Linked DNA regions of Cricetulus griseus. The protein of the gene in region 1 interacts with the protein of each later gene in a pairwise test. Links are inferred from orthologs where the notes say so. Each region holds a gene or a part of one and is shown on either strand. Other genes may lie near its edges.

Region 1 (5,586 bases):
ACAGCCTCAGAATAAATATGCCTACTTTCAGAGTGCACTTACTTCATTGCCCGATGGCTCTTCGCCTTTTTTTTAATGACTTTTTTTTATTTCATATGCATTGGTGTTTTCCCAAATATATGTCTGCGTAAAAGGCTAATATCTCCTGGAGTTACAGACAGTTGTAAGCCACTATGTAGATGCTGGGAATTGAACCCAGGTCCTCTGAAAGAACAGGCAGTGCTCTTAACTGCTGAGTCATCTCTCCAGGCCCTGGCAGTTCTCCTAATCCTACCAAGATTCTTTAGCTCTATTACATGATCAAAGAAAGTGTTGTCTTCCACATTAGATACAGAATATTTTACAATTAAGGCAAGGAGTGAGAGACTCAGACCTCCTGGACTTAGTTAAATTCTCCTTTCTAAGCTATCTGTAACTATAATATGACTTTCAATTGCACTGTAATTGTGGACACATTACACTGAGGCAGTTTTTTATTGGTTTTGTTGTTGTTGTTGTTGTTTTCTATTTGTTTGTTTTATTTTTAGGTGGGGTTATTGGTGGTTTTTTTTTTTCTCTGTTTATTAGCAATGATTCCAAGAGTAGTCAACTGCTTTGACAACGAAACATATGCCTTGCTAACATCTCTGAGCACCTGGGCCTCTGTTCCCACTTGGGTCTCATTAGGTAATTGCTCACATTTCACTTGCTGCTATAAACCCAAAAAAGAAGGTGAGAAAACACTTAATTTTTTAAGAAAACACATTGGAACACAACTCTTAGTATAAAGTTTTACAATACAACAAATGTAAGGATCTTTAGAAAAGCCCCAAAGCCTTACAATGCCAAGGTAATATTTAGCACAGACAAAAAGTGCATGTTACTTAAAAATGAACAGGCACAGCCGGGCAGTGGTGGCACATGCCTTTAATCCCAGCACTTGGGAGGCAGAGGAAGTCAGATCTCAGTGAATTCAAGGCCAGCCTGGTCTACAAAATAAGTTCCATGATAGCCAGAACTGTTACACAGAGAAACCCTATCTCAAACAAACAAACAAAAAAAGGCACAAATCATTCTTAACAGCATCTACTAATAATTTTACCTCATTTTGTTCAGTTTTCATAACTTCTTTCTCTGGTGAGTGCTTTTTGTTGTCAGTATCAGCATCCATGATTTTCTAGTAAAAGGGGGTGCTTTTACAACCATATACAACACAAATTCAAGGAAAAAAAAAGAAAATACAGATTTTACCCTTTTGTGCAAGAAACATGCCTTCTTTGCTTTGTATTGTTTTTTTTTCTATCATCTAAGTCTTGTCATGTGACTTACAGCCAAACATCGTCTGTATTTTGAAGAATTTCACTTCCCTAATTGCATAGGAGCAGGAGCGAGGCTCATTAAAGGACCTGCCAACATGACTGCTCCATGGTATGGTTAAGGTCTTTATTATGAACAAGAGAAAACATCTAGAGGCATCTGGAAGAGTCCAGAGCAGAGAGAGGAAGTAGACTGAACACGGTCAGCAGACTGGACATAGCCAGGGCTATCTGTGAGAGAGGAGAGAATAGCAGGAGACAGAGAATCGAGAGCATAGTGTGAATAGCAAGAGCAAGATCGTAGAGATTTGAGGCTGCAAACCCAATTCAGGATGCTGATTGTCTGTCTTTAAAATATGGACATAGAGGCTGGGGAGATGGCTCAGGGGGAAAGTGCCTACTGGGTAAGTACTGGTACCTTCCATCCTGGCCTCCCACATAGAAAACAAGGTGTGATGATGTCACCCAACCTGGCCAATCAGGAAGATGCAGGTCCAGTGAGAGACCCTGACTCAGCAAAGTAGAAGAGGATACCAGACTTCCATCTCTAAGCTCCACAGGTACATGCCCAAGTATGTACACACATGCACACACACAAAAAAAATAATAATAATAAATGAATAAAATATGGACAACATCCTACATTGTTCACGAAAACTCAACTTAATCCAGAAGGACTGAGTTAAAGAGGGAACAACACAAAAGTTAGACTGAGTATGAGGCAGAGACATAATCAGAGAAGTAATGCTGATACTGTCTTTGAAGATGACAGAAGGATGCTGAGCCAAGCAAAGGAGAGGGATTCATCCCAAGAGCTTCCAGGACAGAAGGAAGACAGCTCTCAGCAAGCGCCTTTACTGTACCCTGGGAAACCTTCAGACTCCTACAGCTGAGAAGTATGGGGATGGAGAGGCGGTACTCTGTACCTAACAGTCCGTTCATCTAGCAGAAGACCCAGGCTCAGTTCCCAGGCCCCAAATCAAGTGGCTCATAAAGGGACCCCAGTCCATGCACATACAGACACACATAAGCACATCCAATTTTAAAATGACACTAAAAATAAATATCTTTAAATTGAAGTGTGTATGTGCATCTGTGTATAAGCCACCAAGGTCATGTAATTTATTATGGCAGTAAATTTTAAAAAAACAAACAAACTATTCTTCCTAACTATATTTACATCACCATGTTGGGCCTGGCAGCATAAAGAAAGAAACATAATGTATGCATGTTGTATAGACCAGAAACATGTCAAAAGATGAATAAAATTTTAATAATTAAAAGTTCCTAATTAAGCCTGGTCTACAAGAGCTAGTTCCAGGACAGCCTCAGAGAAACCCTGTCTCAAAAACCAAAAAGTTCCTAATAGTGCTTCTTTTGCAATTTTACAATCAGGTGACACTTTCGAATAAAATAGTCTATCTGGTTATGGTGGCACAGGCCTGTAACAGGATGATCAAGAGTTCAAAACCAGCACAATGTAAACAGAAAGCTGATATTTTGATGTGTGTGTGTGCTGGCAGAAGTTGGGTTTGGGTTTACAAACAGAGAAGAAAGCTGGGGAAAAAACAAAACAAAACAAAACACAGAAAGTGAACTGCTTGATTCAAGGTTAGGTTCTTTGCAAGGCTGGGCCGGGGATAGAAATAGAATAACTAACTGGTTGGTGAACATCCAGGTGCTTTGGGGGGATTAAAGCAGTGGTGATTTCATTCTCTTGCCCAATGTAACCCGCCGCTTTCCCTCTACCCCTGTTGGGCAGGACACGTGAAAAGTTCCCTTCTGGAGCACACAAGTTAGAATGAGCACCTCAGGTGCATAAGACTTCTCAGCCCAAATCAGTGGCCTCCTATAATTTTTATTGAATATTCTCCTTTTAACGGCAGCGCCTGCCAAGGAAAAAATTGTCTTCCTGAGAAATCGATTTTCCTAAGAACACTCATTCTAAGTTTCCATTTCCCGGGAGGGCGAAGCACGACCAGGCCGGAGCACAGCGCCCTTTTGGGCGCATCCCCAGGCAGCAAGCCCGGGACCCCGACCCCAAGCCTTCAACCTACCAGGCTGGGCTGGACACCGCCCCCACCCTAAACCCGCCCCACGACTCGCGGAGCATCCCTGACTTGGGGGCGGGGGGGGGGGGTAGACGGGACAGGACGAGCACTCACCCCCTCCGCCGTGCAGCTCCCGGAAGCCAGCGGCGATTAGAACCGAATCCCAACGCGAAAGCACAAACCTAGTCCCTGCGAACAGCAGCGCTCAATCACCCGCGATACTTTCAGTTTCGATTGTTTTAAAAACAGGATGTTTTGGTTTCATGTCCTGCAGACTTTGTCCGGGCGCTATTGCTGATGTTCCTATCTCGGCTGGAATTCTAGGACGGCCTTTGAAAAGTGTATTTTTGTGTGCGTTACGCGGAACTCACTGGATAGCAACTGAAGGCACAGCTCTCTGTCCAAATCCCAGAGCTCAACGTAATTTCCTAGACCGCTACAAAGTTTGACGCCAACCCAAAATGGACCGTGAAGCTGGGAAGGCCGTTTCCAGGGTTGGTTTCTATGCCCTCGTCCCTTGTAAGTTTTCTTCTAATCTTTGTTTATGTTGTGAACATTTTGTAAACAAACACTTCGATAGATGTGAACTTTTCCTTTGCCAGAAAAATAACTGGCTTCTCTCTAGAACGGTAGTGTTTCCTAATCCCACTCGAAGAACCACTCCGGACAGCTGTGCCGCTCATGAGTACAGAGACGTGGATGGCAGCAAAAAGATCCCGGGGTCTTATAGCTGTGCTTAGTAACCAATAACTTCGGTCTAAAATAACACATTGCCAGAAGCAAATTCCTTGCCATCAAGAACACTGATAGGACCCTGTTTACAGTTGACACCAGAGCTACATAGTGAGACCACGCCTTAAAAAAATTAAAGATAGTGTCTTGTGTGTTGTCTTTGGAAAGTGCAAAAGGTCTGTGTATTACGTAGGTTTTCTTCTGAATTTTAACAGGAGCATGAATTTGTTAATGAGAAATTAAAAGAGGTCATTGGTTTGGACGGAGTTTGTGGATTAGTCCAGCAGGTCAGAGAAAAAGCTCATGTTGAAATCCCAGGTCATGGAGAAGAAAGTTATCCTTCCAATAAGTCAGATGACAGATTATGGCCAAATCCCTAAGCAAGCCAGTTTTACATGGCAGAATAATAGCTTTATTAGCTATTATAGCTTTAACCTTTATAACACAAGAACTTTAAAACAGCTATTTGGAGGCTGGAGAGATGGCTCAGTGGTTAGGGGCATTTGTTTCTTTTACAGAGCTAGTACCCCACAACCTACTGTCACTCCAGTTCCAGAGGATGAACGCCCTCTTCTGGCCTCCGTGGACAAATAAGTGATGCAGATACATGCCCTTGAAACACTCATACACATTAAATAAAAACAAACCTAAAAGTGTGGTTTTTGACAGCCTATTTGTTTTTGTGTTGGGTTTACGATCTTCAGCCACCCCTTCATTTTTGACTTATAAAAGTATTATCTGCCCTATTCAGCAGATTCTGATTCTAGAATCACAAATTAAAAAGTCAACTTGGTTTTTAAACTACATTTGTTGTAATTTTTGTCTTTTGACAACCAGGGGTTACTAGTTCAATACAATTTTCTTCTTGTTTAAATTTATTTTTGTCTTTGGAAGGAGATACTAGGAGACATAACAATGACTACAGAGTAGCTGGTCTAATATAGACTTATGGGAAAGCAAAGGGATGAGTAGAGAGGAAGATGTTTGAGAGACTAGCATCTTTTGTTAATGTTGTTGTTATGGGAGTAAGGAGCAGGTGCCACTAGAGCTTCTGGATGATTCTTTCTATCTTCCCCTCCCATCTCTAAGTAGGAGTGCCAAAAGTACAGGTGTAAGTGGGTCACTGAATCTGGCTTGTGTATGTGGGTTCTTGCCAGACAAACACTTTTACCTGCTTAGGGAATCTCTCTATCATCTCTTTCTTCTCCTGAAATAACTCCCCAACTGCTCTCACGATGCATATATTCTATTTTTCTATTTTGTTTTGTTTAAGCTGGTCTAGAACTCACAACCTTTCTGCCTTGGCATCTCTAGTGCTGGGATTACAAGTGCACCACCAGTCCCAACTGGGACCCTGCCATTCTAAAGCTGAATCATCTGCTAGCAGTTTGAATTCAGCTTGACTTTTAGGTGGGCACTCTGCAAAGTACAGTCCATAAGGACAAATATTAATATTTAGCCCTTGTATACATTAATATGTTACTGTAATTGCTAAAATTACGTATTTT
Region 2 (4,346 bases), on another chromosome or scaffold:
TCATACAGAGGGTCTGGAGATGGACTGGGGGCAGACACGCAGACCTGAGCAGGGGTCTGGGCAAGCACCTCTTCCCCGTCCTGGGCTTCCCACCTATCCATCTGTCTTTGCCAGACCTTCCTGTCACTGCCCTCACCCCCTGCACCCAGTTGCCCTCCCAACTTCACTAACTTTTCTTTCTGTTGGTGCCCAGGAACAAAGTTTAGGTTGGCAGTTCCCAAAGGGTGTGCTTCTGTATCCCCAGGGTCTTCCATGGCTAGGAGCTCCTTCAGCTTCTCCTGGGACTCAGGAAGAGAATCCAACCCCCAAGGCACAGGCGGGCACATTCCTAGCGGTGAGTAACACTTCCTGAAGGCGGTTCACCCTGTCACGCCCCGCCAGTTAACTCTTGTATGTCCACTCCATGTGGCCAGTGTCCACTTCTATTCTGGGCCCAGCCTTGAATGGCAGGGGCCCCCTTTATGTTAGTGTCACTATTAGGGCCTCAGCTGTGGGAGGACCACCTCCACACAGCGTTTCCTCATATAGAACCTCACACTATGCAGCTGGGTAGGGAGGAGTTAAACAGGGCAGACCAAGTTCCCACAGGCCCAAGTCTCACCCCTGTGTCACCTCAAGAAGTCTGTGGTCACTTGCTCATCTGCTTCTGCCTTGGAGGGGGTCACCCTTGTGGGAGAGCACCCCCTACTGGTCACAGATGACTCATTCCTGAACCTAACTTGGGTTTTGTGATTTCAGGTTGCTATGGAGAAAGGATGCTGTGTCTCCATGGAAACTAAACCCTTTGCTTAACTGAGGTTCTGGGGGTGGTTCTGACACTCATGCTAACCAGGGGAGAGTGTGGCTGTGAGGTTGTCAGCACATGGTGCTGCTGCTAGCTGCCTCCCACACACAGGCCCTGCCAGCCTGCCTGCCAATCTGCCAAGTGACTGGGGCAGGTGCAGACATGACCTGGCCTCCAGGCATGCCTTCATCCAAGGCCATGTGCTTCATTTGTTTGCCTGGGCCACACCACGTGTAGACTCCAGCTCTGGGCCCAGGCTCGTTTCTAAGTCACAATGTTCTGAACAACAGGGACCCCAGAAGAGTCTGTCCCAGGTGTTCCCCATAAAGCCTTGATTCCTTTTAAGAGAACAGCAGACACACACTGGTCAAGGTCCAAGGATGAGTTTTATTCCAGTCTTTAGAATCTGGGAGGCAGACACCAGGAATGGCCCTGAGAAAGTCTGGGAAGATGCCATCTCCAGCGATAGCTAGGAGGGGCAAGACCCCAACATGTTTCTGGCTCAAGAGTTCCCCAGCTCCTGGCTCAGTGGGGAGGGCTGCTGCTGTCATATGAAGCCTATCTTTATTGGGGGGACAATAAAGGAAGTTACTCTTGGGGGGGGGGCAGGAACGGAGTCTTGCTTGGCCAGGTCAGCTTCAGGGTCACGGCTATGCAGATCCCAAGGAGAGCAGAGGAGCCCAGGCCAGTGTTGGTCAGGGGACAGCAGTAACACTGGAGGACTACCAGGCAACCCCCTGCCTTTGCAGAAAAATGTTAGTCCTGTGTGTGGTGCCAGCTGCTCCAAGGACCCTCTGAGTGGAAATGCAGTGTCAGGGTCCTAGGGGCAATGGGAAAATCACTACAAGGAAGGTGAATCAAAGAGAACAACCACTGCCTGAGGCCCTGGGGAAACACCATACTCCCCTCACCCACAGGGCTTCCTTTCCCTGCCCTCTGACCCACCCTGCTGCGGGCCAGCTCCAGTCCACCTTTATCTCTCTGTGGTGCTGAACTTGGGACCAGAGGCTTACCCATGCTAGGCAAGCACTCTACCACTGGGCCCTCCATTTTACCTTTACAAGTCCTTGCCAATCTGGTTCCTATTCCCCAAACTCCCACAAAATCCTCAAAGTGAGATCAAGCTATGGATTCTGACAGGGCCACCTCTTTGGTTCTTACCATCTGGTTTTCTCTTCTGAGGAGACACTGCTGCCCTGGCCTGGGTGTAGAGAAGACAGGGGCCTTTAGAGTCTACTTTAACTTGTTGACACTGCCCCCTCTACACCAAGGGTGAAAGCTGCTGAGTCAAATTGCATGAAATATAAAAAACTCCCTACACCAAGCTCTCTCAGGGGCAGCTTTTCTCTTGTTCATCAAAACTGTCTGGATTGGCCGGGCGTTGGTAGCGCACACCTTTAATCCCAGCACTCAGGAGGCAGAGGCAGGCGCATCTCTGTGAGTTTGAGGCCAGCCTGGTCTCCAGAGCGAGTGCCAGGATAGGCTCCAAAGCTACACAGAGAAACCCTGTCTCAGGGAAGAAAAAAAAAAAAACAAAAAAAAAACAAAAAACAAACAAACAAAAAAAAACAACAAAAAAAAAACCTGTCTGGACCAACGGCTAACCAGAACACATCCTTTTCCTTCCTCAGGTCAGTCTAGGAGGACTACAAATAAGCTACCACAAAGTTGGTACCAGGGCTGAGGCAGATATTGCTGAGGGGCAGGCAGAAAACTCCCTAAATACCCTCAGATACCAGAGCTGTCATGAGTGTATGAGAGAGGGGTGGGGGTGGCAGAGCAGGATGGGTAAACAGGCAGCAGCAGACCTACCTTTTTGATAGCCGTCCAGTCTTCCAGAATGTCGATCTCCTGCAGCATGTATACAATGTATGGGCCTGCACAGGGGTCAAGGAAGAAAGATGACAACAGGAGACAGGGGACAAGGCTCCACTGGATGGCCACAGGTGGCAGTGCCACCTGTCTCCTGCTTAGGAGAGGTGGTACATCGGTAGTGTGGAGGGGGTGACAAGAGCCTTTTTATTTTTTGAGACACAGTCTCTATGTAGCCCTGGCTGGCCTGGAACTCACAGAGAGCTGCCTGCCTCTGCCTCCTGAGTGCTGGGATTAAAGGTGTGTGCCTTTACACTCAGTAAGACCCTGGGCTTAATCCAAGCTCCACCTCCTGCCTCAGGGACCCTAGTTCTTGGTGAGTGTGGGGATTGTGGTGGGCACAAAACCTTACCCATTCCCTTCACACACACTCATATTTTTTTTTTTTCCAGATCAGCTGACCAAGGCCCATCCTATCCTGAGGGGCCCTGCTCCTGCTGCTTTGTCTGGCTCTGTCAGGAACTGGCTCATTGGACCCTTCCTCACCTAAATGTAAATAGTGGCCTCTTCCCTCCTGATAGCACACTATGCTATGGATCTGAAATTTACCTTTACCCACAATGGTTCAATAAAATCTCCATCCCACCTCCATCCTGAGGTGGTCCCAGGGCTGACACTGTGGATGTGGAAGATCTCAGTGCTATGCTGTGCAGCACATGAGAGTCAAAGACAGTGAGTCCCCTGTCTCACTGTTCAATACAGAAGAGAACACATGTATAGGGCTGGGGGCTATGGACCAGGAGAGACCTCAGAGGACACAGCATCTGACATGACACCCCTGCCCAGACAAGCAATAGCTCCAGAAGGGTCAAGCAAGGCCTGAGAGCATGGAGTTTGACCAAATATAAGGACATTGAGGGAAAGCCACAAGGCTCCAAAGGCTGATCCTTTCTCAGGAAATTACTATGAGTCAGTGAGCTGAGTTTTCTGTTTCTTTGGGGTCCACTGAGCTCAAGAGGACATAGGACACAGAAGAAAATCCTGACAACTGGACATTTCAGGTGACACCAAATGACCATAAATGATTCTAGTTTGACTCTGTCCCACACAATCCCTCTAACTTCCCTGAGTCCAGGGCCTGCCTTGTCCTGCCCAGTTTCAGGGGACTTTGAGTGGAAGGATACCAGAAACGAGAGGTGCCTTCTTCCTCTTGCTGGGTGGCAATGAGTCCCAGGTCTTTGAGCTGCCTCTGGCGTGTAGTTTGTCATCCCACCACTCTGTGCCCAGAGACTCAGAGTCAGGATCAGGACAGTGACCCACAGGTAACTCCCACTATCCCTGTGGTTTTACCATGGACCAGCCTGGCCTCCCCTCCCTTCCCCATCACCACCAGGGCAGTGGCCCCAACCTTGGGCTTGAGGCTGGTGACCTCTTGGGACCACTGAGGTCCTTACTGCATTTGGTGCAAGCCGGCAAAGATGAGATGACACTGCCCTTCGTGGTTAAGCCCCAGTTTTTCCATTTGCTTAGTAGACAGGATGAAGGTAATTCCTGGACCCCATGTGAATGCAGATGCCACCATCATGGAGAGGACTATGGTTTTTATATGCATCCATGTGTCAGCTGGATAACCCCCACTCTGAATGGGGACAGGCAAGGGTGCCAATCTGCTTGAGTCCCAACTATATGTGGAATACTGAGCTAGACCCTTTCCTGAAGACTCATTCAGTCCTCACAGGGATCCTAAAAA

Evidence for each region.
Region 2: the proteins of Nmi (region 1) and Brms1 interact in binary tests that used the Homo sapiens proteins (3 or more experiments, as listed by UniProt). The link is inferred for Cricetulus griseus from reciprocal best matches to the Homo sapiens genes NMI and BRMS1.

Annotation. Positions count from the first base shown.
Region 1 is NC_048599.1:122,375,709-122,381,294, reverse strand, and holds the start of Nmi (N-myc-interactor), read right to left. Parts: upstream 3,599-5,586; 5' UTR 3,461-3,598; intron 1,173-3,460; 5' UTR 1,151-1,172; coding exon 1,082-1,150; intron 1-1,081. UniProt on the Homo sapiens protein: Acts as a signaling pathway regulator involved in innate immune system response.
Region 2 is NC_048596.1:54,236,955-54,241,300, forward strand, and holds the end of Brms1 (breast cancer metastasis-suppressor 1), read right to left. Parts: intron 3,874-4,346; coding exon 3,781-3,873; intron 2,662-3,780; coding exon 2,597-2,661; intron 1,986-2,596; coding exon 1,946-1,985; intron 1,605-1,945; coding exon 1,597-1,604; 3' UTR 1,152-1,596; downstream 1-1,151. Other genes in the region: Rin1 (ras and Rab interactor 1), read right to left, coding at 1-24, 172-326. UniProt on the Homo sapiens protein: Transcriptional repressor. Down-regulates transcription activation by NF-kappa-B by promoting the deacetylation of RELA at 'Lys-310'. Promotes HDAC1 binding to promoter regions.